Linked DNA regions of Rhinolophus ferrumequinum. The protein of the gene in region 3 interacts with the protein of the main gene of each other region in a pairwise test. Links are inferred from orthologs where the notes say so. Each region holds a gene or a part of one and is shown on either strand. Other genes may lie near its edges. The genes, in order: TBC1D10C, TTBK2 and KLHL12.

Region 1 (7,128 bases), on a different chromosome or scaffold from region 3:
AGAGGCCAGGGTGAGAATCCAGCTTTGACCTTTATTCAAGAGACCAGATGGGTTGCCCAGGATCCGGCTGCCAGCCCTGAGGCCAAGCAAGGCTGGAGACCCACAACCTGGCCCTGCTTTGCCCTGAGCTGCAGCCTCAGCCCCAGGATCCTGCTTGCAGCCACCGAGGCACAGGCAGGGGGAGCCCTGGGGGATTGGACGCTGCTACTGATTCATTAAAAAAAAAAGAAAAATACACCAAGGCTCCGTGTTCCCTTGATGGGTAGGCCCAGGGGCCAGTGTGACCCCCACGGCTGTGAGATTGCTGCACAGTCCACCCTCGGGGGCAGACAGCGGGCACCCACAGGCTATTTCTTGGCTTTGGCGGAGTTGCGGGGTGGGGTGATGGGCCGGCCGCCAGGGTTCAGGCCACTGAACTGCCCATATTTCCCCTTGTTCTTGTCGGCGGGCTTGAGGATCTAAGAGAGAGAACTGGTCAGGCTCACGGGGCTGAGCCATGGGCCACCAGCCCCTTCCTTCCCCACCCCTACCTGGAAGGAGCACATGAGCGTCTCGTCCACACTCATCATGGCGCCTGCATTGTCAAACTCGCCACAGTAGTTGGGAGCTGAGAAGAGTGTCACCAGCTGCCGCTTGGCAAAGAACTCATAGCCATCTTCTACGACCTGGATGAGGACGGGGCAGTTAGTTCAGCAGGTGCTGGCTGCCCAGGCCCCACTCCCACCCAGACCAGAGCTCCCAGCCCACCTGGTGTGCCCGGCAGATGAGGTCCAAGTCGTGCTTGTGCAGGAACTTGGCCACCACCTCAGCCCCGAAGGTAAAGGAGACACCACGGTCGTTCTCGCCCCAGCCCTGCACATCCTTGTCAGGGTCAGACCACAGCAGGTCACATAACAGCCCCTGGTCAGGCACATCTGTGGGCCGCATGATACGCCTAATCTGCTCCATAGACTGCAGATCCGGGGAGAGACCTGAGGGACACGGGGCAGGTCACTTCCTCAAACAAGCCTCAAAACAAGGGCCACCCTCCTCCAGAAAGTCTTGACCAATTAGCTTCTGCCTCCCCCCACTACCACCTGGCCCTCTCCTGGACTCCTGGAAGCCCAGGTCGGCAGAACTCACCGCCTTAGCCTGTTTAAGTCCCTGCCCTCTAGGAGCGCAGAGCTCCCTAGAGAAAGGAAACTTCTAAGTTCCACGCACAATGCTGAGGCCACAACAGCAGAGAGTACAGCCTAACACTGGCGAGGGGGGACATCCAAGCCCAGACCCCAGGGAAAGCTGTTCCAGGTGACTGGGAACACGTCCTCCAGCAAACAGCCTCATCCCGAGGTCCCCAGGGATGTGGCTGGGCTTTTCCCAGAGCCGTCCTCACCTCCATGGCAGCAAAAGATCTTCTCGTCCACAATGGCCGCGATGGGCAGGCAGTTGAAGCAGTCGGTGAAGGTTTTCCAGAGTTTAATGTTGTAGCGTCTCTTGCCTGCCCAGAGGAAGGAGATGGCTTGTGAGGCGGCCTGTCCATCCAACCCACAACAGGGTTGTGGGCCCCCCAAGGCCTCCCAGACACAGCTGGGAGAGGAGCGTGAAACGCAAGGGAAACCCACTGCCTACCAGCTTTCCAGGAGGAACCCCCGAGTTCCAATCCGGAACGTCAGGGTTGGCACCCACCTCCACCCTGTGAGCGGGGCCAGGCCAAGACCAGATCTGGTTAATCTCAGCTTCTGGCCAGCAGAGTCCAGGCCACATAGGCATCCTAAGTGCTTAAGTAACGGATGTGCGAGAGGGAATGTTACCAGACAGGACCCTGTATTACACTGTGGTCGGCCCTTCCTGAGGGCCAGGCCCCATGGCAGCAGAGCAGGAGGGCAGTCGGGCAGGGCCCTGCCTTCCCCACACTCACAGTCTAGCAGGTTATCTGTCAGATGCCGATACTCCTACCACCAAGTCAACGCAAGGGTCCCACCAAACAGTGGGGAGAGAACTTCAGGCCTCTGGCAGCCCCAGGCACGCAGCCCACTCACACTCATCATAGAAGCCGTAGATGCGGTTGATGCTGGCACACTCGTGGTTCCCACGGAGCAGGAAGAAGTTTTCGGGGTACTTGATCTTATAGGCCAGCAGCAGGCAGATGGTCTCCAGCGACTGCTTGCCCCGGTCCACGTAGTCCCCCAGGAAGAGGTAGTTGCTCTCTGGAGGGAAGCCACCATACTCAAACAGCCTTAGAAGATCATAGTACTGGCCATGGATGTCACCTGTGACCCAGGGAAGCAGGTCAGCACTAGGTGCGGGATCTAGACTTGAACCCAGGGCCAGGGTGGGCTCAAGAGAAGAGGGATCCAGGGGTTGGGCGGAGGGGGGGGCGAGGACACCTTCAGGAAGCAAAAGGGCCTGGGCAGGGGTCTCACCGCAGATTTTGAGGGGTGCCTCCAGCTCCAAAAGAATGGGCTGGCTCAGGAAAATCTCCCGGGATTTGAGGCACAGACCACGGATCTCATTCTCTGTCAACTGTACATTCTTGCCAGGCCGCGAACCCTGCACTGGAGGCGGAATGGAGCGTCAGGACCCTGGTTCCTCAGACAGGAGGGTGGGCGGCACAGGTGCCCCATGGGCACTTCTAGCGGCGCCTGGGCCTCCTGGGCCCCTCCTTGCCCCGGGAAGCTGTTGCTGCTTAGCCTGCCAGGACGGGACCCCAACTACCCTTAAGGTGCTCGAGGGGATTGCTGTGCGCAAGGGCCGAAACCCCCCAACGCAGGACCCCTTTCCGGGGGTGGGGGGGACAGGCTTCTTAGATTTTTCCCTCACCCCAAGAGCCCAGGCCAACTGGTGCGTCCCCGGTCCAGAGGAGGGGGCTGCTCCCCGTGCCCGAAGGGCCCCAGACGCCCCCAAGGTGCGCCGCCAGTGGGGGGGCGGCTGCGGCCGCGGAACCTCGCGGCCCGTCCCCGCCCAGTCTAAGCTAGCCCTGGGAGGGGCAGGCCCGCCCGCGCGCAACTTCCGGGCCGAGCCGGGCCGGGGGTTAGGGCGAGGCGGACGCTGACCTCCCACACCCCAGCCAACCTTCCAGTAGGCGCCCGATGATAGAGTCCAGATTGAGCTTCTCGCTGTCGGACATGGCGGCTCTGCCGCTCCGGCCCAGCAGCTCCGGGCCAGCTCCTGCCTCCCGCCCTCCGATGCCTCCTTCCGGCCTGTCGCTCCTTCCGCCCGCCCCGGCCCGCCTCCTCGGCCGCCCGCCCCGCCCCGGCCCGCCCCACCCCGCTGGCTTCCCTTGCCTGCTGCCCCAGCTCTCTAGCGCCTCCGCTGGACGCCATGCGGGAGGCGGGGGCTCGGTGACGGGGCGGTACTTTATGTGCCTGGGGCGGGGCCTGGTCGGTGGGCGTGGTTTTGTGGGGTGAGGTTGAGTCTGGTTCCGCCCCTGAGAATTACTCAGCCTCTTTCTGAGAATATAGGACCGGAAATACTGTGGAAGTTGTTTTTCTCTTTCACAGGCGGAACAGCCGAACTTCCCACCTGGCGTGAGCACGTTAATCATAGATTCCCCAAACACTGTGGATTAAGTCCTCAAAGGACAGAAAAGGAAACTGAGGCTCAGAGATAACAAGGGGCTGGTCCAATACCTGGCCTCACATTCACAGAGGACCTCTACCTCCTGCGTCTTTGTGGCCCCCGAGGTGGCTGACCAAACCCAGGCAGCTTCCATAGAACTCCGAGCCCATTTTAGTTCATACTGCCTGTGGTGCAATCTAAATTAATTTTTTAAAATCCCATCCTTGCCTGCCTTTGAGTAGCACAAACTGCATTGTGAGCATGTTAAAAGTATTACTTTCTAAAGAGCAAACATTAAATAAACCATAATTCTCATTGAAACCCTGAATTGAGTGTTTTATATGCCAGTATCCTCCACAGGAGGCAGCCTGGCCTCTACCTCCAGCAGTCCCTGGTCCCATCAAGCCCGGCACAAGAACCCAGGGTACAGGGTTGGGTTGGTGGGAGGAGCCCATAGCCCAGGGGCACTGGGGCAGGCCGGAAAAGCCTCAGAGAGGAAGGGGTAACCCCCCCACACACACTGGGGAGGGGCCCCCCAGTGGGTAGCTGAAGCTGTGTCTGAGGAGGAAGTGAGAGGAGGAGGTGAGGTGCTTCTGGGAGGTAAGCTGGGGTGCTGGGCCAGGGGCTGGGTCTCTGAACAGAGGCCTGGCCTTTCTGCCACTTCAGGGTCTAACCCCCTCCCACCAATAGAAGTGGGGACACAAGGGGCTTGTTGAGATACCCTGAAACCTCCTCCCTTCAACCCCACAGCCAGGACCTGAGGCTGAGGACCGGTTGGATGGGAGGCCAGGCCAGGAGCTGCCTCTCTCACTGGTTCTCCCATCTTGCAGCCTCTTTGTTGCATCAGGGGTCTGGGGCACCATGGCCCAGGCCCTGGGTGAGGACCTGGTGCAGGCTTGTGAGCTGCAGGATGATTCCAGTTCTTTGGGGTCTGACTCAGAGCTGAGTGGGCCCGGCCCATATCGCCGGGCCGACCGGTATGGCTTCATTGGAGGCAGCGCAGCAGAGCCAGGGTAAGTGGGGAAGGAATGGGGGTGGGGGAGGTCCTGGATTGAAGATAGGGGCTGAGAGCTGAATTCTAGAATGAGGCCCAACCTCAAGGGTCCTGGGCGGGTCTGGGGACTTAGCAAGTGTCACCCCTCCTAAGGCTGGCAGGACTGGGCCGGGGTGTCCTTGTCTCTTTACCCCCAAACCCCAAGGGTTTGGACCCACCTTGGGAACTGAACATCCTTTCCCTTTTAACCTCTGGCCCAGGAATCCCAAATCCAAATCACAGAACCCACACTTCTTTCTCCACCCTCCCCCTTTCCCAATATACAGACAGGATAAAAAGTCCAGAGACACGAAGGAACTTGCCTGAGGTCACACAGCAGATCAGAGACTGAACCAGTCTCAAACTCAGTACTCCTGGCTTCTAGTACAGGGCTCAGTCCACACAGCTTCCCCTGTGAGTTGTCTGTGTCCCTATCCTGGGGGACAGCCAACCAGCCCCTCCCCCAATGCACACCTACACACCCCTTTCAGTCTTTCCTGCTTCCACCCACATTGGAGCCACATCCTTTCCTGTCCCCATGACAACCACTGGCAACTCTTGGGTGACAGGTCACCCCCCAGGGGCTCACTTAGGTTGCATGAGGGTGGCAGATGTGGGCTGTAGGTAACAGCTGCCTGGCGCCTGGATGTCTATGCCATGTGCTCCCAGGCCTGGTCACCCTTCTGCAGACCTTATCCGTCAACGTGAGATGAAGTGGGTGGAGATGACTTCACACTGGGAGAAAACCATGTCTCGGCGGTACAAGAAGGTGAGGGGAGAATGGCCCCACCCAGGCCGTCTTGGCTTATTCTCCTTTGCCTCAGCCCAGGCCCTGGCAAAATTTAGTCCCCTCCTGTGTCCTGTCTTTTCTCCCTACCACCCAAAGTGGCCCTTGCCTGATGCTAAGTTGTGTTTGGGGCCTGCCAGCAGGAGCAGGGGAGGCTGGCCCTGCTGGCCTAATGGGGTCCCTTGGCCTCCGCACAGGTAAAGATGCAGTGCCGGAAAGGCATCCCCTCAGCCCTGCGTGCCCGGTGCTGGCCTCTGCTGTGTGGGGCCCATGTGTGTCAAAAGAACAGCCCTGGTATCTATCAGGTATAAGAGTTGGCAGGGGTTCCCCCCTTTCCAGAGCCCCTCGCCACTTTGAGCCCTCCCACCTACCTTCCTGCCTACCCACAGGAACTGGCTGAGACTCCGGGAGATCCACAGTGGATGGAGACCATCGGCAGGGACCTGCACCGCCAGTTCCCTCTGCACGAGATGTTTGTGTCTCCCCAAGGTCACGGGTACGAGGCCAGTGATGCCCAGGGACCCCCAGCCTCACAACCCCAGGCATTTTGGCCCAGCCCCTCCCCACCCCAGCTTTATGTCTTTGCATCTCAGGGGAGCCAGCAAGGCTGGGGGTGGTGAGGCTTGGGCAAAGGCTGCAGAGAGGGGAAAGGGATGCCAGGAGGACTGATCCCTAATGGGGTCTTCTGGCACAGGCAGCAGGGGCTCCTGCAGGTACTCAAGGCCTACACCCTGTATCGGCCTGAACAGGGCTACTGCCAGGCACAGGGTCCTGTGGCTGCCGTGCTACTCATGCATCTGCCCCCAGAGGTGAGTGCCCTTAACCCTGTGCTAGGGGCCCGAAACCCTGACCCCCAACCCCAGTGACCCGTGACTCCCAACCCCAGGGACTCTGATGTCAGGAACCTGGGATCCTTGACCCCAGATCCTGTCCTAGTGACCCAGGGCTTCATGACTGCCAGCCTCAGTGACCTTAAAGCCCAATGACCTGGACTGCAGGAACCTGGGACCTTTGCCCCTTGCCCCTTGCCCCAGTGAATAGGAGTCTGCATGTTATCACCTTGACCTCCTGACTCCTGATTCTGAACCCTGTCACCATGATCCCTAAACCAATGACCCCAAGAACCCAGGACTTGAGCTTTGGGATCCTCCCAACCTTTGACCAGTGAGCCTCGATTCTGTGACCCTCAAATTCAACACCCTGAGCCCTGTGACCCATGAGCAGGGGAGGCTTTTGGTAAGAGCGCCCCCAGGTCTGAGTCCCGGCACCTAGATCCACAGTCACTGCAGATGGTATCCAGGCCCTCCCCTGCACCCTTTCCCCCTGCCCTGCGGTTCCCCTTGTGGCCCCTCCATGGTGGGCACTCATGGCCTGTGCTCCACCTCCAGGAGGCCTTCTGGTGCCTGGTGCAGATCTGTGAGCTTTACCTGCCAGGCTACTACGGGCCCCACATGGTAAGAGTCTGGGATGAGGCCAGAGGGCACAGGGGGAGGGGCTGGGTGGATGGGTGGGTGGAGGCCTGGGGACTGAGCGGGGCAGAGCCTGCTGGGCTTTGGGAGTGGAGGTGCTGACGGACATGGCCGCAGGAGGCTGTGCAGCTGGATGCTGAGGTGTTCATGGCCCTGCTGCGGCGGCTGCTCCCGCGTGTGCACAAACACCTGCAGCAGGTGGGCGTCGGGCCCCTGCTCTACCTGCCCGAGTGGTTCCTGTGCCTCTTCGCCCGCTCCCTGCCCTTCCCCACAGTGCTGCGCGTCTGGGACGCCTTTCTCAG
Region 2 (7,868 bases), on a different chromosome or scaffold from region 3:
AAGAGACAGAGGCAGTTTAGTATGATGGGGGTATGTAGATTAGGGGAAAAAAATAAAGGTAAGGCCTGTGGCAGAGTGTGTTTTCTAAAGATGACCACAGTATCACTCATCTTTTTTGCTCTTCTTCAGAGTGACTTTGCCACTCCCCCAATAAGAGGGAGAGTCCATTTCCCCATCCCCTTAAATCTGTGTGAATCTTATGACTGCTTTAACCAACAGAGAACCAGGAAAAGTAACACTGCACAAATTCTGATAATAGCCCTCAACCAGCCTCAAGGCTTCTGTTTCCTGTCTCTCAAGAGCCAATCACCATGGCCTCCTCAGAAGCCACAGTCCTGTGAAGCAGTCCTAGAAAATGAGGCACCAGGTTGGGGGTTGAGGGAACTAAGGATCCCCAAAGCACCAAACGAGCCATCTGGGATGAATTCTCCAAACCAACCAAACCCGCTAGTGCCACATGAGTAAGAGACAAACCACCCAGGCAAACTCTTCTCAAATTCCTAACCCACAAAACTGTGAGCAAAATAACTGATTATTCTAAGCCTCTAAGTTTTCATGTAGTTGTTATACAACACTAGATAACCAAAACACCATCCTTACCAATGAGCCTGTGGTTTCTCACTAAAAATGTCACTATGCCTCTCATACTTGGGGGACATGTTCCACACATATATTAGCTCTAATTATCAGGACAGGGCAACTAAACCAGGCATAACTTCATTTGCAACTTTGCGATATGTCTACTGGAGAACAGCCAACCTTTATGGCAGCACTTAATACAAAGTTCTCATAAAGCAACACTCATTCCTAACTTACATAAAAGATTACCAATTGTTGAAAACTCCCTGCACCAGTCCATGATGATTATGGTTCTTTTCTTATGTTTACTCAAGTAAATTTTCTAAACCTATTGATTTGCCTAATCAGTAAAACACTACCACAGAAACAAAATTTTTACTTCAAAATGAAGAATTTTCTTTTTCCAATCTATTGATTAAGGAAACCACAGAAACAGCTTTGCTAAAGCTGGTAAAAGATAAAAAACTTTGGATAACAAAAGACTAGATAGCAATACAATATATTTAAATATATCCAAAACAAAAATAGCTACTTTAAGAAGAGGAGAGATGGCTGATAAGTCTATGGCAAGGAAGCCATCAAAAGACTATTAGGGGAGCGGCCAGATGGCTCAGTTGGTTAGAGCACAAGCTCTCAACAAAAAGGTTGCTGGTTCAATTCCCGCATGGGATGGTGGGCTGCGCCCCCTGCAGCTAAGATTAAAAACAGCGACTGGACTTGGAGCTAAACTGCGTCCTCCACGACTAGATTGAAGGACAACGACTTGGAGCTGATGGGCCCTGGAGAAGCACATTGTTTCCCAATATTCCCCAATTTAAAAAATTTAAAAAGAAAAAGACTATTACGATCATGTTGAAGGAATTCAGGAGACAACTTGACGGGTGTCCCCTTAGTTAAATGAGACAATTTGAGTATCGATAAGGATAAGAACTACAATGGACTGAAACACATTAAATGTGTTTAAACTCATGAATTGTGAATCACATTTTTAAAAATGTCATTAGTCACTTTTGGATAATGCTAGGGAATCAATTCATTATTTTGAAAACTGGTAAATTAAGAAAAAAGAATCAAGTATTTATTGTTTTCTTAATCAAGTTATATCTCAGGGAAATCAAATAGTTGAGAAAGATCACCAATCTGCAATCCCAAATGAATTAACATACCAGCCAATGACGATCCACAATAGTAACACCATAAAGACAGGCGGTAACACATTACGTGCCTCCTATGGAAAGTTCACAATACCCTTTATGAAAAAACTGCCCCCATCTCAGATTAGAACTGAAGTCAGACCTAATAGAGGACATTTATAACAATTTATATAAAATACATGACAGAGGAACATGTTAACACCACATAGAAGCAATCAGAAAAACCCAAACCATAGGAAATTCTACAGACAAATGGCCTAGTTTCTCCAACAAATAAATTGTAAGGGAAAACTAGACAAAAAAATACCTAGAAACTTAAAAATACTTAACTGATGTCAACCAATTATAATATCCAGACTTTATTTGGATTTGATTTAAACTGTTAAAAATAACTTAAAAAACAATCAGGGAAATGTAAAAGCCAATACTTAATAATATTAAGAAATTATTACTTTTTTAGGTGTGATGATATTATGATTGTGTTTTAAAGAGAAATCTTTATCTTTTAGAGATACATACTGAAGTATGTATCGTAAAATACTAAGGGGAAAGATCTGTTTAAAAATATTTTGGGGGACAGCCAGTTAGCTCAGTTGGTTAGAGCATGATGCTCGTAACACCAGGGTGGCCGGTTCGATCCCCACATGGGCCACTGTGAGCTGCACCCTCCATAACTACCTTGAAACAACTACTTGACTTGGAGCTGATGGGTTCTGGAAAAACACACTTAAAATAAATAAAGAGTTAAAATATATATATTTTGGGAGTGAGGTTAAAGAGATAAAACAAGATTGACCATAACTTGATAAATATTTAAGCTGGGGCATGAGTACATGGAGGTTCATTATATCAGTATCACTATTTTTATGTATACTTACAATTTTTCTTAATAAAAAGTTCAAAAATAAAAAAGAAAGCAGTTTACTGTACTCTATTTTTTTATTTGTTTTTTCCCCTAAGTATACTTTTATTTACCTTACTCAATATTAGTTCTCAGAGATAAGGACAATTTACTACTACATGAAGCAAGAATTAGAATTTGGGTATAAACCAAACTTAATCATAGGGAAAAAACTGAAAGTAACTGCTTTAGCAAGCAATATGTGTTTTTTCCCAATGAAATGCTATTTTTATCAAGACACCAAAAATTATTAAAAGTGTTCTCTCTTTCTCTCCCTTTCTCCCCTTCCCCCCCACCCCAAAGATGTATACTCACCACTTTCCATCTTTCTTTGACCAGAATTCCAACACTGAGGATATCCGGCTGCTCTCCTCCTCCACTCATTGCAATTCACTGACGTGACAGAACCGCTACACAAGCATCCAGCTCCCAAGGGTGGTTTCCATTTAACCTAAAACAAAAGAAACAGCAGTGGCATATCGGGACTAACTAATTAACACAAACATTCTAGCAACAAGTAGCATTACTAATCCCATACGTTAATTAGGTTGCTTTGTTGGAAGGGGAAGGGGGAAACTAACAAACTCACTTTAAAAATCTGTTTAGTGAATACTTTGTAAAAAATATTTATCTTTCCATCACAAATACCCAATGAAACAGCTAGACATTACAAAAACATTACATTATGACACAGATATAATTTACAATAGCTGAAACTGTTAGACTATAGGGAAAGCATGGTGTCAATAGCAGGTGACCCAGACAGACCACTTTCCTAAGTACAACATATTGCTAAAGAAAATGATATGGTACCTAATTTACAACAGCTTATAGTTTAATAGGTTGTAAGTTAGAGCTTACCATCATCAGAGCTAATAAAATTTTAATGTTACATAATGCACTTAAAATGCACAGGAAATAACCATGAGCCACAGAAAAGGGCTATTCATCAAACCCAATACAATAAGAAAAAGAGGATATCAATAACATGAACAGTACACCTGTAGAAAATGAAGATACAGCAGAAAATATGGCCTAAAGGAGATGAAAACCATAACCTAATATTAGAAGATGAACCAAAGAAAAGTAAGAAAAAGAAGCTTTAAAACAACATAAATGATAATTGGAAAAGCTCTTAAATGAGAGAGCTAGGCAACAGGAAGACATAAAAAGAAACCTGAATGAACTCAGAAAAGAGTCCTAAATGAAAGAAAAAGAAATGAAGGCTCAACTACAAGGGATATGAGACAAGATACCATATAAATAAGTGAGAAAAAACAAAAGAGAAAAATGAAAATGAAAAATTTAAGAAATTCAAAAATTGAAAGAGATAAATAAAAGACAAAATACATTATCATAGAAAGCCCCCCAAAAGAAAAAGCAATGAAATAGAACAAATATTAGCCACCATAATTCAAGAAAATTTTATGTAAATATACAAAAGGCTAAATCTGCATGTTCACCACATTCCTAAGAAAACAACTGAGAAGCTCAATATCAAGACACAGTCTAATAAAACTAGTGGGTTTTAAAGGGGAAAAAAATTCATTGGTCATCCGTGCAGAAAGTCCAAATTACTTATAATGGAAAGAAAATCAGACTGATGACAAACATTGGCACAAACAGCTTATGTTAGTAGACAATGGAATTATACATTTAAATACCCAAGGCAACAAAATGTGAGCCAGGAAAGTTCTGTTCCCTCAAACCAACTTTCAAGGCTAATGCCCTTGAAAGTTGCTTGTTCCAGCTTTCAAGGCTTGTTCCCAGGAAATGCCCTTAAGAATCAACTACATAACAAGTATCAATCAAGAAATTACGGTAAAAGATTTGGCACGAGGATTGGCCTGAAAAGGCCTAAAAGCAATGATAACCCAGTAACAATGAGCACCCCAGCCTCTAGACTGTAGACTCTGAACATCATTTCCCACTTAAAAAAAAAAAAAAATCAGAGAAATGGCTTGTACCAGGTCTGGCACAGGAAACTGTACACAAAGAAAATATGGGATGTCTTGTCAAATGAGAAAGCAAAAATGTTAACAGTACTACTGCAGGCAAGTCAATAGGAAATCAGAGACAACCGAAAGGATTCCTATTTGCCAAAGATGAAACAATTTGAGCATATACACAAATGGTGACTGCAATGATTGGAAAATAAGAAAAATATAAACACCCATGAGCTCATAATGACACTCAAAAAAGAAAATTCCACTTTGGTCAATTCTCGAAGTTGCTAGGGCACAACTATTTATCCTGAAAATTGGTAAATAAATAGAAATAATCAAGAATTTATACTGCCTTTCTGGTATGAACAGTAATTCAGGGAAACAAAGAGATGATGAGGGCCACTTTTTCCCTAGAGAATAATCACAGCTAATAAATGTGGAAGAAGAAATGACAGAATTAGGAAATCGCCTAGAATTAGGAATTCAAAAATCCCTGGTTAAATAATGAATCTAGGCAATGACCACCAAAGGCTGCTAAAAACATATGGAGGATGTGGATGGGGAACTTTAATATGGATCAAGCTGAACCCACTGATCAATCTTAACATCGCTAAAAAGCAGGATAATGAAACATAAATGCTTCCTGATATGATGCAACAACATTTACTCAGTACCATCTATAGAGCGTCCTGCCTCTTCTAAAAGAGCCTAGATGTAATCAAGCTGCTAGATTTAAATATCAGTTTACAAAAATAAGGGGACTAGAAGCACATGTTAAATGTCAAGATGAGGATACCATAAGCTAAATCCATGATGCTGAATACCCTGAAGGACAATATACCCAGTTTCTCCAATAAATAAATGCATAGGAAATAAAAAAAGCTTACATTACATATCATAAGAAACAAGGTATATATCAAGCTAAGGCAAAAGCTAGCAAGAAACAGAAAAACATTTTTAAGGACTAAAAGAAAAAAGCATTGTCAACTCAGAATTCTGTATCCAGAGAGAATACCCTTCAAGGATAAGGACACTCTCAGATAATAGAAAATTAAGATTGTGTGTTTTTAGCAGAGCTACTGTGAAAGAATTAAATGATGAGGGCAACTTTCCCTAGAGAATAAGCACAGCTAATAAATGCAGAAGAAATGATAGAATTAGGAAATTACCTAGAATTTTTTCTAGAGAAGAAATTTCTTCTGAAGAAGAAATGGAACGGAACAGAGGAAAACTGGGAATAACAGGAATGAAGGAAGAGCAACAGAAATCTAGGTAAATATAACAGACTAACCTCCTCTTACATTCTTTAAAAAAATGCTTGACAGTTAAGAAAATTATAACACTAAAAGGATTTTCAATGTATACGATATACTTTATAAGACTACTACAACAAAAAGGTGGAATGTTAGAGACCTATATAATGGTGATTAGGTTTCTGCATTCTACTTAGAATGGTAATATAATAATTTTAATAGAATGGAAAATTAGGTAGGTAATCCCTAGAGCAATTGCTTAAAATAGCTATACAAAAAAAGAAAAAAAGAAAAAAAAGAGAGTAGCACATCAAAACATGTCAGAATAATCCAAAAGAAGGTAGGAAAGGAGAAATAAAAGAATAAAAACAGGGGCATAAACATAAAACAAATAATAAAATGGCTGACCTAACTCTAAATATATCTATAATTTCTTTAAATATAAATGGCCTGCAAAACTAAAAATAAGAAAATATAGGAAAGAAAAAACTCACTGGTAAAGGCAAACATTTAGTAAAATTAGTGACCCAGTCACTTATAAAGCTATTATGAAGGTTAAAGGACAAAAGTAGTAAAATCACTTATATCTATAATAATTAATTAAGGGGTATATGAGTACACACAGAAAATAAATATAAAATATGATGTCAAAAACATAAAATGTGGGGGGGTGGGTAATGAGCAAATACCATATTTCCTCGAAAATAAGACCTAGCCGGACAATCAGCTCTAATGTGTCGTTTGGAGCAAAAATTAATATAAAACCCAGTCTTTTCTTACTATAAGACTGGGTCTTATATAACATAATGTTATGTTAATTTTTGCCCCAAACGACGCATTAGAGCTGACTGTCCAGCTAGGTCGTATTTTCAGGGAAACACAGTATGTAGTGCTCTTAGACTGGGTTCGAACTTAAGTGACCATCAACATAAAATAGACTGCTATAAACATAAGTTGTTACATATGAATCTCATCGTAATCATAAACCAAAAACCTGTGATACACAAAAATAAAGAGAAAGGAATCCAAACGTAACACTAAAGAAAGTCATCAAGGTTCAGGGGGAAAGCAAGAGAAGAAAGGAACAGAGAAGAACTACAAAAACACCCAGAAAATAATTAATAAAATGGCAGTAAGTACATACCTATCAATAATTACTTTAAATGTAAATGGACTACATGTTCCAATCGAAAGACAGGGTGGCTGAACAGATTAAAAAAAAAACCCAAGACCCATATTTATACTGTCTACAAGAGACTCCCTTAAGATCTAAAGACATACACAAACTGAAAGTGAAGGGATGTAAAAAGATATTTCATGCAAATGGAAATGAAAAGAAAGTTGGGGTAGCAATACTTACATCAGACAAAATAGACTTTAAAATAAGGACTGTAAAAAGAGACAAAGAAGGGCATTATATAATGATAAAGGGATCATTCCGACAAGAGGATATAACACTTGTAAACATCTACCGGTATACACCCAACACAGAAGCACCTGAATACATAAAGAAAATATTAAGACATAAATGGAAAGATTGACAGTAATACAGTAATAGTATGGAACTTTAACACCCCACTTACATCAATGGATAGATCATCCAGTCTTAAAATCGACAAGGAAACATGGCCTTAACACATTAGATCAGATAGACCTAATAGATATTTATAGAACATTCCATCTAAAAACAGCAGAATACACATTCTTTTCAAGTGCACATGGAACAGTCTTCAGAACAGATCACATGTTAGACCACAAAACAAGTCTTAGTAAATTTAAGAAGACTGAAATTATATGAAGCATCTTTTCTGACTAAAATGGTATAAAACTAGAAATCAATTTCAAAATGAAACCTGGAGGCTAAACAACATGCTACTAAACAACATATGGGTTAAGGAAGAAATCAGAAAAGAAAATAAAAAATACCTTGAGACAAATGAAAATGTAACACAATGGTCCAAAATCTATAGGACACTGCAAAAGCAATTCTAAGATGGAAGTTTATAGTGATACAGAAACAAGAAAAATTTCAAAT
Region 3 (6,925 bases):
CCCTACAGTTCCAGTCTCATCAGATTTTCCACGTCCTGGTGGTGGCGGCAGCCTTTGTCCATTTCTACGGGGTCTCCAACCTGCAGGAATTCCGCCACGGCCTGGAAGGCGGCTGTACTGATGACTCACTCCTCTGAGCCGTCTCACCGGAGGGCGGGAGGGACTTCCCAAGTGCTTTTAAACACAACTTCTTTGCTGAAGTGACAGGAAGAGTCTCAGTTGTCTGTTTCTAGAGGAAACCTCTTAGAGAGTTGAGTCCGAGCAAGCTTCAGCCCACTTCCCACCCTGGGACAGTAAATTTTCCATTTCCCTGGCTGAGGGAAGGTGGGGGTGGCCACACGTCACCATGCCCCTCCTTGGCAGTCCCCTCAGCAAGGCGACTCTGTCCCTGCAGAGTACTTTGAAGCTCATGTTGAGATTTTACCCCTCCTCCAACCATTTTGGGGAAAAGTGATGAACTGGGACTCTTCGGAAATTCTGTTTCTGGAAGAAAAAGTCCCTCCCTTACCGCGTCCTTACTTTGTAACCTGGCTTATAACAGGCCACCGTTTTTGTAGCACACTTTTCAAAAACAATTGTAACCGGTCCCATCTTTCCAGGGCCTGAATCTGCTTACACAGCAGGAAGAATAGAGTCACCAACTTTGATGCAGCCCGGCTAATCATGCAAATGTGTCCAGGCTTCAGATAACTTGAGTTTCAATGTTTTTTTTTCTTGGCAGAGTAATGTAAAATTAAAAAGGGGAAAGATATTTAATATTTAATACTAAGCTTTAAAAAGAAATCTGCTATCATTGCTATGTATCTTGATGCAAAGACTATGGTGATAATAAAAGAAAGTACAGAAGACAGTTAGTGTCCAAAGACTTAACATGCGTGGTCTCAGCCCTCTGCACTCTTGTCCGTGGGTTAGAATCAGCAAAGTCATCTCAGGCCCTGCTGAGGCACACATCTGGGTCCTCGGCATTGCTCGGCCAGCACGCGTGGGCCGCGGAGAAGCCGACTGAGTTCCCAGCATCTGCTCCTCAATACAGCCTTGTTTTTCTCTACTCATTGCACAGAATTTGACGAGAGAAATTCGCACACTGTATCACTTTGTAGTCGTGAGAAGGCCCTCAGAGGTGTCAGGCTGCGTCCCTTTTGAGTATCCAAGGTCAGCACATCTGAGAGCTTAGTTCCTTTCCGACTGCCTGCCATGCTTACGGTTGTGTCGTCAGGAGGTTAGTCCATGCTTTCTGTGCAGTCGTACAGTGTCACCTCCCAGCTAACGGGGGCAGTTAGGAATCTTCCTGAGTTACAAAGATGGGTTCACGTCAAGGTTAGGTTTGTACACTGGATGAATAAGGGATCCTTTTAAAGAATAATCTGACTAGGCTGACAAACAGGAAGTTTCTCAACCTCACGTGGTAATCAGGGAAATGCAAGCTAAAACCAAAGTGTGACTCCACCTCCTCCTTCCGACTGACAGATTAGATAGAAGCCCTGACACTGAGTGGGTGTGGGTGTGGGATGCCGTTGGGAGCAGGACCAGGGTGTGTGGACATGCGTGGCGTGTGTGTACGTGTGGCACCCCCAAACAGTTCATGAGAGGCCATGAGATGGACCTGAAGTCCACCCCGGATTACTTCATTAAAAAGCACTTGTTCTGACCACTAAACTGTTTCCTTGACAGCTCACGGCCTGACTTTGAAAAACACTACTCTTGAGCAACTTGGCTTGTATCAAAAGACTCACTATAGCTGTGTGTAGGCACAGCACACAGCAAACGAGGCAAATGTCCACAACTTGAACGGAAAAAGAAATCTTGGTTTAGCCGCACAATGAAACACGACTTAGTTACAGTGACAACAACACGGTTGGGTCTCAAAGATTAGGGGGAGTGAGGGGAGCAACTTACGGAAAAATCTATCAGGTTCAGAAGTTTGCAAAACCAATGCTAGTTTAAGGGTATGAATATGGTAAAAATTCAAAAGGAAATGTTAATTTAGGCGCATGGTGCCCCTGAAGGGTAAGAACTGGAGGAGAGGAGGGACACACTATTTCAGAACTTAGCTCGTTCCTTGTAACTAGCTGGTCAGCACATGGTGTTCTTAAACCATGCGTATTTTTTCTTGCATATATGTAGTAAGGGTTTAACAAGATGAGCTGATGGCAGAGCACACACTGGTGACCTGCAGGGTGCAATGTTCACAAACGCCTGTACGCTGGGGACAACCAACTGCAGCTCAGTGGCAGCTGTGCCCTTTGTGGAGGGGTGTGCTCTCTGGTTCACCACACTGCCTAGTCCCTGGAGGCATGTTTGCAAGCTCTCCTGTCGCATCCGATCCAACGCCATCTTCCACAGGAACTACGGAGGCCGGAGCGACTGAAATCCGGTGTTTTCTCATTTTCAGTAGGAGACAGGACCAGGGAAAGAGGGTCTGAGACAAAGCGTTTCTTGAGCATGTACTTTGTACTTTGCGTATGTCATTTTGTATCTTTTTAACCCTGTGAAGTAGGTGGTATTATCCCATGCCACATGTGAAAAAATTAAGGTCCCAAAAGACTAAGACTTTTTCCCAAGATGACAGATAGGATCAGAGCCAGTATCTGAATCCAGACCATTCTGAGTTAAACCCCATGTTCTAAAGCCTCCGAAAAGTTCAAAGGCACAAAAAGAAACAGAGGGAAAAACCTCCCTCCTGCCCTGTCTTCCAACCAACCAGCCACATCCTTTTGCCAAAGAAACGAATGTTACCACTTCATTTTCAATCTTTCCAAATGCATTCTATACATATACAATCAAATAGGAATATATTTTCCCAACCTTTTTATGCAAATAATAGCAAACTAGATGCACTGTTCACAACTTCAGGGTATTGGAGGGTGCGCTCTACTTTATTGAACCAGTCCCCTACTTACGGAGGTGAAGGTGGTTTTCCATATAACCTACGACGACCTTGCACACACGTTACTTTACGTGTGCAAGAGTGTGTATGAAGGAGAAAAGATAAAAATCTCAGTTAAGGATATCTGCATTCGTAACTTGAGTGAACTTTTCCAAATGCAATAGAATTTGTACCACTCCTGCAGTTCACCCCCAGCGTGTGAATCAGGGATAATGTGAGATCGTAGGGAGATGATGCCAAAGATGGAAAGGAAACACTGTAAAATTAGATTGCTGCCCACTTGCCTATGGTTTTATCCCTAAGGAATCAAAGGCCCGAGAGGGAAACAGTGTCATCAAACACAATGTTTGGACAAAAATGGGGTCAAGGAGCCTGATCCCCTTGCCAGCCAGTCAGCTGAGTGCGCCCAAATCGGTCAGAAGCGAAATCCCTAAAGGGGACGCCCCGCGCCCCGGAGCTGGAGACGTCGGCAGACGAAAGGGGAGATGAGGCCTCCTTGGACTTCTGATGGGTTCCTTCGCACGTCCCTCAGCGCAGGGACCAACGTCCGGCGACCACCAGTCCCTTCCACGAACTGTCTCGGGGTGCGAGCAGCAGAGAATCACCTGCGGGACGGCGGCGGGCCCCACTATGATGCAGAGAATGCGGAGGTCAGGGGGTCGCAGGGCGGCCCGAAAGGTCACAGCCTGGAAGACACCTGCAGCCTCCGTGGCCTTTCTCGCCGTGAGAGCGTCCCTGAAGCCCTGGCAGGTGAAACGTGCCCCCGGCCATCAGTGCCGTGGCTCCCGGACCCTTCGCGCCCTCCCAGCCGCGGGATCTCGGGGACCAGCTCACTGTCGGCCGCCGCGGGAGGCCGGGCGCCCAACACCTGCGGGTCACGTGCCGCCGCTGCCCCACGTGACGCGGCTCCGGGAGGGGAGGGGCGGTCCGCGCTCTGCGACGTCATCACGTCGCGCGGCCGCGGGGACGGCACCCGACGAGCGGGGCGACGGCTCGCGAGGCTCCGGGTCGGGGCGGCGGCGGCGGCGCCCGGGCTCCTGAGCCGCCTGCTGGCCGCGCCCATCTCACCCCATCCCCACGCGCGGGGCGCAGGTGAGCTGACGGAGGGCGTGGGTGGCGGTGGGCGCTTCCTGCCGGGCCCGACCCGGGTTCCGGCCCTGCCCGCCTGTCCTCCCCGCCGAGGGCACGCAGCGGAGGGGGCTCGGCGCGCGGCGCTCAGCTCCGCCCGCCGGGACCCCAGCTGCGGTGCCCGCCGCGTCCCCGGTGCCGTCGGGGGACACTTCCTCCTCCTCCCGCCGGGGTTCAGCTGGGCCGGAACCTGACGCCCTCCCCGAGTCCTCCATGGTGCAACCCCCATGCAGATGTTATGGAGGTTCTGGGACAGTGGCCTCGGGAACGGGAGGGCGGAGGAAGTGCCGAGACTTGGCCCGGCGAGGCAGGCATCCCCACGCCGCGCTCGAGCTACCGTCGGTGTGACGGGCACGGAGACGTGGCCCGAGCCTGTGGGGACCCCCCAGAAAGCCTCCACAGTCCATGGGCATCTGTTAGACCTTTCCTCCCTCCGCAGCGTCGCAACTCAGTTGGCTTCAGGAAAATCTTTTTGAAAACATCATATGCTCTGATGACTCACCTCCTTTTCTGTAAAGTGGGCCCCGCAGGGTTGCTGGAGGGATTATCTCGAGTGTCACAGAGCAATACGCTAGCTGTAAACAGGAGGACGTGCGATGTCGGTTTTCCCGTTCAAAAAGTGTGGTGTGAGTTTTGGACTCTTGAAGACCCTGGTTTGAGGTTTATTCTTGGATCATTTCAGAAAGTTTTGGATTCCAACTAAGACAGACTTAACCACCCCGTTTCATTCCCCAGAGTTGTCATTGATGAAGAAAAGGAAAGAAATAGTGTCACAAAGCCTGTCACGTACAGCGCAACACGGGCAGTGAGAACGAGAAGGGATGGCGAAGGGTTAAGAAAGAAACAGAAATCAACAGAGTTTTGAAAGGGGCCAAGGGTCTCCCAGCCTCAAAGGACTGCGAGCCCCGAATCGGGCCACCTTGTGGCTTTTATTGATTCACATACAAGGAAGTCGCATTGTTTTCTCCACGGTCTGTGGGTCTCATACACCACACCAGAAAACTGGTTCAAACCGATCACCCTTGCCTGCCGAAAGTCCCATGATGTATAATTATTGTTTGTACCTCCCCAGGGGACAAAACCTTTATGTTTAAAACATACTGAGATGGAGAACTGATGTTATCACATCTAGAACCACTTCCCAAGCAGGTTGTGGGAAGGAATACAGCCACAGAGGCAGAAGCTCTCCTTAGACGGGGGAAGTGGAAAGCTGTACCCTCCTCTATCAACCCCGTGAATTCTCCTGGTGGTCCCCACACAACTGTGCCTGTCTTGGGTCGTTCCTTTCTTGAGGAATCTTACCTGTCATTGGCTAGCCAGCCATGCTTTGGGGCCAAACAAGGAGATGGCATGAAAGGAAACAATGTCCCTGAAAGGAATAGTCTCACAGACTCTTCTTTCTTTTTAGGGGTAGGCACGAGGGGACAGACGGGCAGGCAGCTGCATGACAACAACCATTAAGAAAGTACTTTTTTCATTTTTTGATGTGTAATCTATTACTACGTTCATTCAAGTGATGCGTGCTGGTGAATTTTGCAGGTGACTGACTGTGGCAGTAAAATTAGTGGGCTTTGGCTAAGTTTGTATCCCGAGAAGGCTGTTTGTTTTGGTACAGAGAATTACTACAAATATTAACTTGTTGGTGTCGACGGACATTGACTGATAGCGTAGAGTAGGAAGACCCTTCTGGAGAAGAGCTTCAGGCAGGACCTTAATCAACTGGAAGCCCACACACAGGCCTGCGCGGTTCGCATCACTCAGTGTAGGTAGCGGGTCCTCATTGGCAGTTTCGTTTTAAAAGGAATCCAGATACATTTGGAAATCACCATAAATGATTCTTTGCCTAGTTCTTTAGAAAAAAAGTTTATTTTCACTGACTGGCTTTCACAGCTCTAAGGTGGAGGCACAATTTCTCTTTTCTTGAATGCATTGACTAGGCACTTACTGTACACCTGCCTGGACAGAAAAAATACATAACACAGGATCCCCACCCTCTCCGCACTTCCCCGTGTAAACTACTCGTGGGTGTTGAATAACATGTACGCGCCTTTAAGAAATTTTGTCTTTTCATCATTTTATCATTGGAGATAACAGCCTGTTGTAGATGAGCCGGACGTGTAGTTTCTTTCTATTTATAATACAGTTGAGTATTGATTATGATAAATGTCAGGAGGTAAGCGTACTCAGAGAAGAGATCATTTTTACTTGGGTTACTTAGTGGCTGGATTGTGGGGGTGATGCCAGGAATGGGGGTGCTCTCTGTTTGTTGTTTGGTTCTCAGGAAGCCTCCTTGAGCTGTAACGCTAATTGAAAATGTCCTGTCCCCACCCCCAACCCCCATCCTTCAGATATGCCCCCTCTTTTTTTCTCTTGTATTTGCAGAATCCCAGGGCCCATTTCATTCTTTTTCCACGTTGCTTGATGGGAGGCATCATGGCCCCCAAAGACATCATGACAAATACTCACGCGAAGTCCATCCTCAACTCGATGAACTCCCTCCGGAAGAGCAACACGCTGTGCGACGTGACCCTCAGAGTGGAGCAGAAGGACTTCCCTGCCCACCGCATCGTGCTGGCTGCCTGTAGCGACTACTTCTGCGCCATGTTCACGAGCGAGGTGAAACTTGTAACCTTGCGGTCGGCTCGCTTCATTGGCTCAAATCGCAGTTCGACAGAACAGTGGATTTCTGTAGGTGGGATTGCCATGTTTCCCCAAAAATAAGACCTAGCTGGATAATCAGCTCTATTGCATCTTTTGGAGCAAAAATTAATATAAGATCCGGTCTTGTGTTAGATAAGACCGAGTCTTATAGTAAAATAAGACCGGGTCTTATATTAATTTTTGCTCCAAAAGACGCATCAGAGCTGATGGTCCAGCTAGGTCTTATTTTCAGGGAAACACGGTAAATGG

What was found.
Region 1: the proteins of KLHL12 (region 3) and TBC1D10C interact in binary tests that used the Homo sapiens proteins (3 or more experiments, as listed by UniProt). The two-hybrid records come from large-scale screens. The link is inferred for Rhinolophus ferrumequinum from reciprocal best matches to the Homo sapiens genes KLHL12 and TBC1D10C.
Region 2: the proteins of KLHL12 (region 3) and TTBK2 interact in binary tests that used the Homo sapiens proteins (3 or more experiments, as listed by UniProt). The two-hybrid records come from large-scale screens. The link is inferred for Rhinolophus ferrumequinum from reciprocal best matches to the Homo sapiens genes KLHL12 and TTBK2.

Annotation. Positions count from the first base shown.
Region 1 is NC_046294.1:4,830,752-4,837,879, reverse strand, and holds the start of TBC1D10C (carabin), read left to right. Parts: upstream 1-4,038; 5' UTR 4,039-4,137; intron 4,138-4,145; exon of another isoform or gene 4,146-4,367; 5' UTR 4,368-4,398; coding exon 4,399-4,550; intron 4,551-5,239; coding exon 5,240-5,339; intron 5,340-5,554; coding exon 5,555-5,662; intron 5,663-5,746; coding exon 5,747-5,853; intron 5,854-6,051; coding exon 6,052-6,166; intron 6,167-6,745; coding exon 6,746-6,811; intron 6,812-6,943; coding exon 6,944-7,128. Other genes in the region: PPP1CA (serine/threonine-protein phosphatase PP1-alpha catalytic subunit), read right to left, coding at 348-458, 531-665, 748-971, 1,373-1,477, 2,019-2,249, 2,403-2,534, 3,052-3,106.
Region 2 is NC_046289.1:62,758,662-62,766,529, reverse strand, and holds the start of TTBK2 (tau-tubulin kinase 2), read right to left. Parts: upstream 3,034-7,868; 5' UTR 3,019-3,033; coding exon 2,950-3,018; intron 1-2,949.
Region 3 is NC_046310.1:166,135-173,059, forward strand, and holds the start of KLHL12 (kelch-like protein 12), read left to right. Parts: upstream 1-3,840; 5' UTR 3,841-3,979; intron 3,980-6,363; exon of another isoform or gene 6,364-6,397; 5' UTR 6,398-6,436; coding exon 6,437-6,631; intron 6,632-6,925. Other genes in the region: ADIPOR1 (adiponectin receptor protein 1), read left to right, coding at 9-137. UniProt on the Homo sapiens protein: Substrate-specific adapter of a BCR (BTB-CUL3-RBX1) E3 ubiquitin ligase complex that acts as a negative regulator of Wnt signaling pathway and ER-Golgi transport.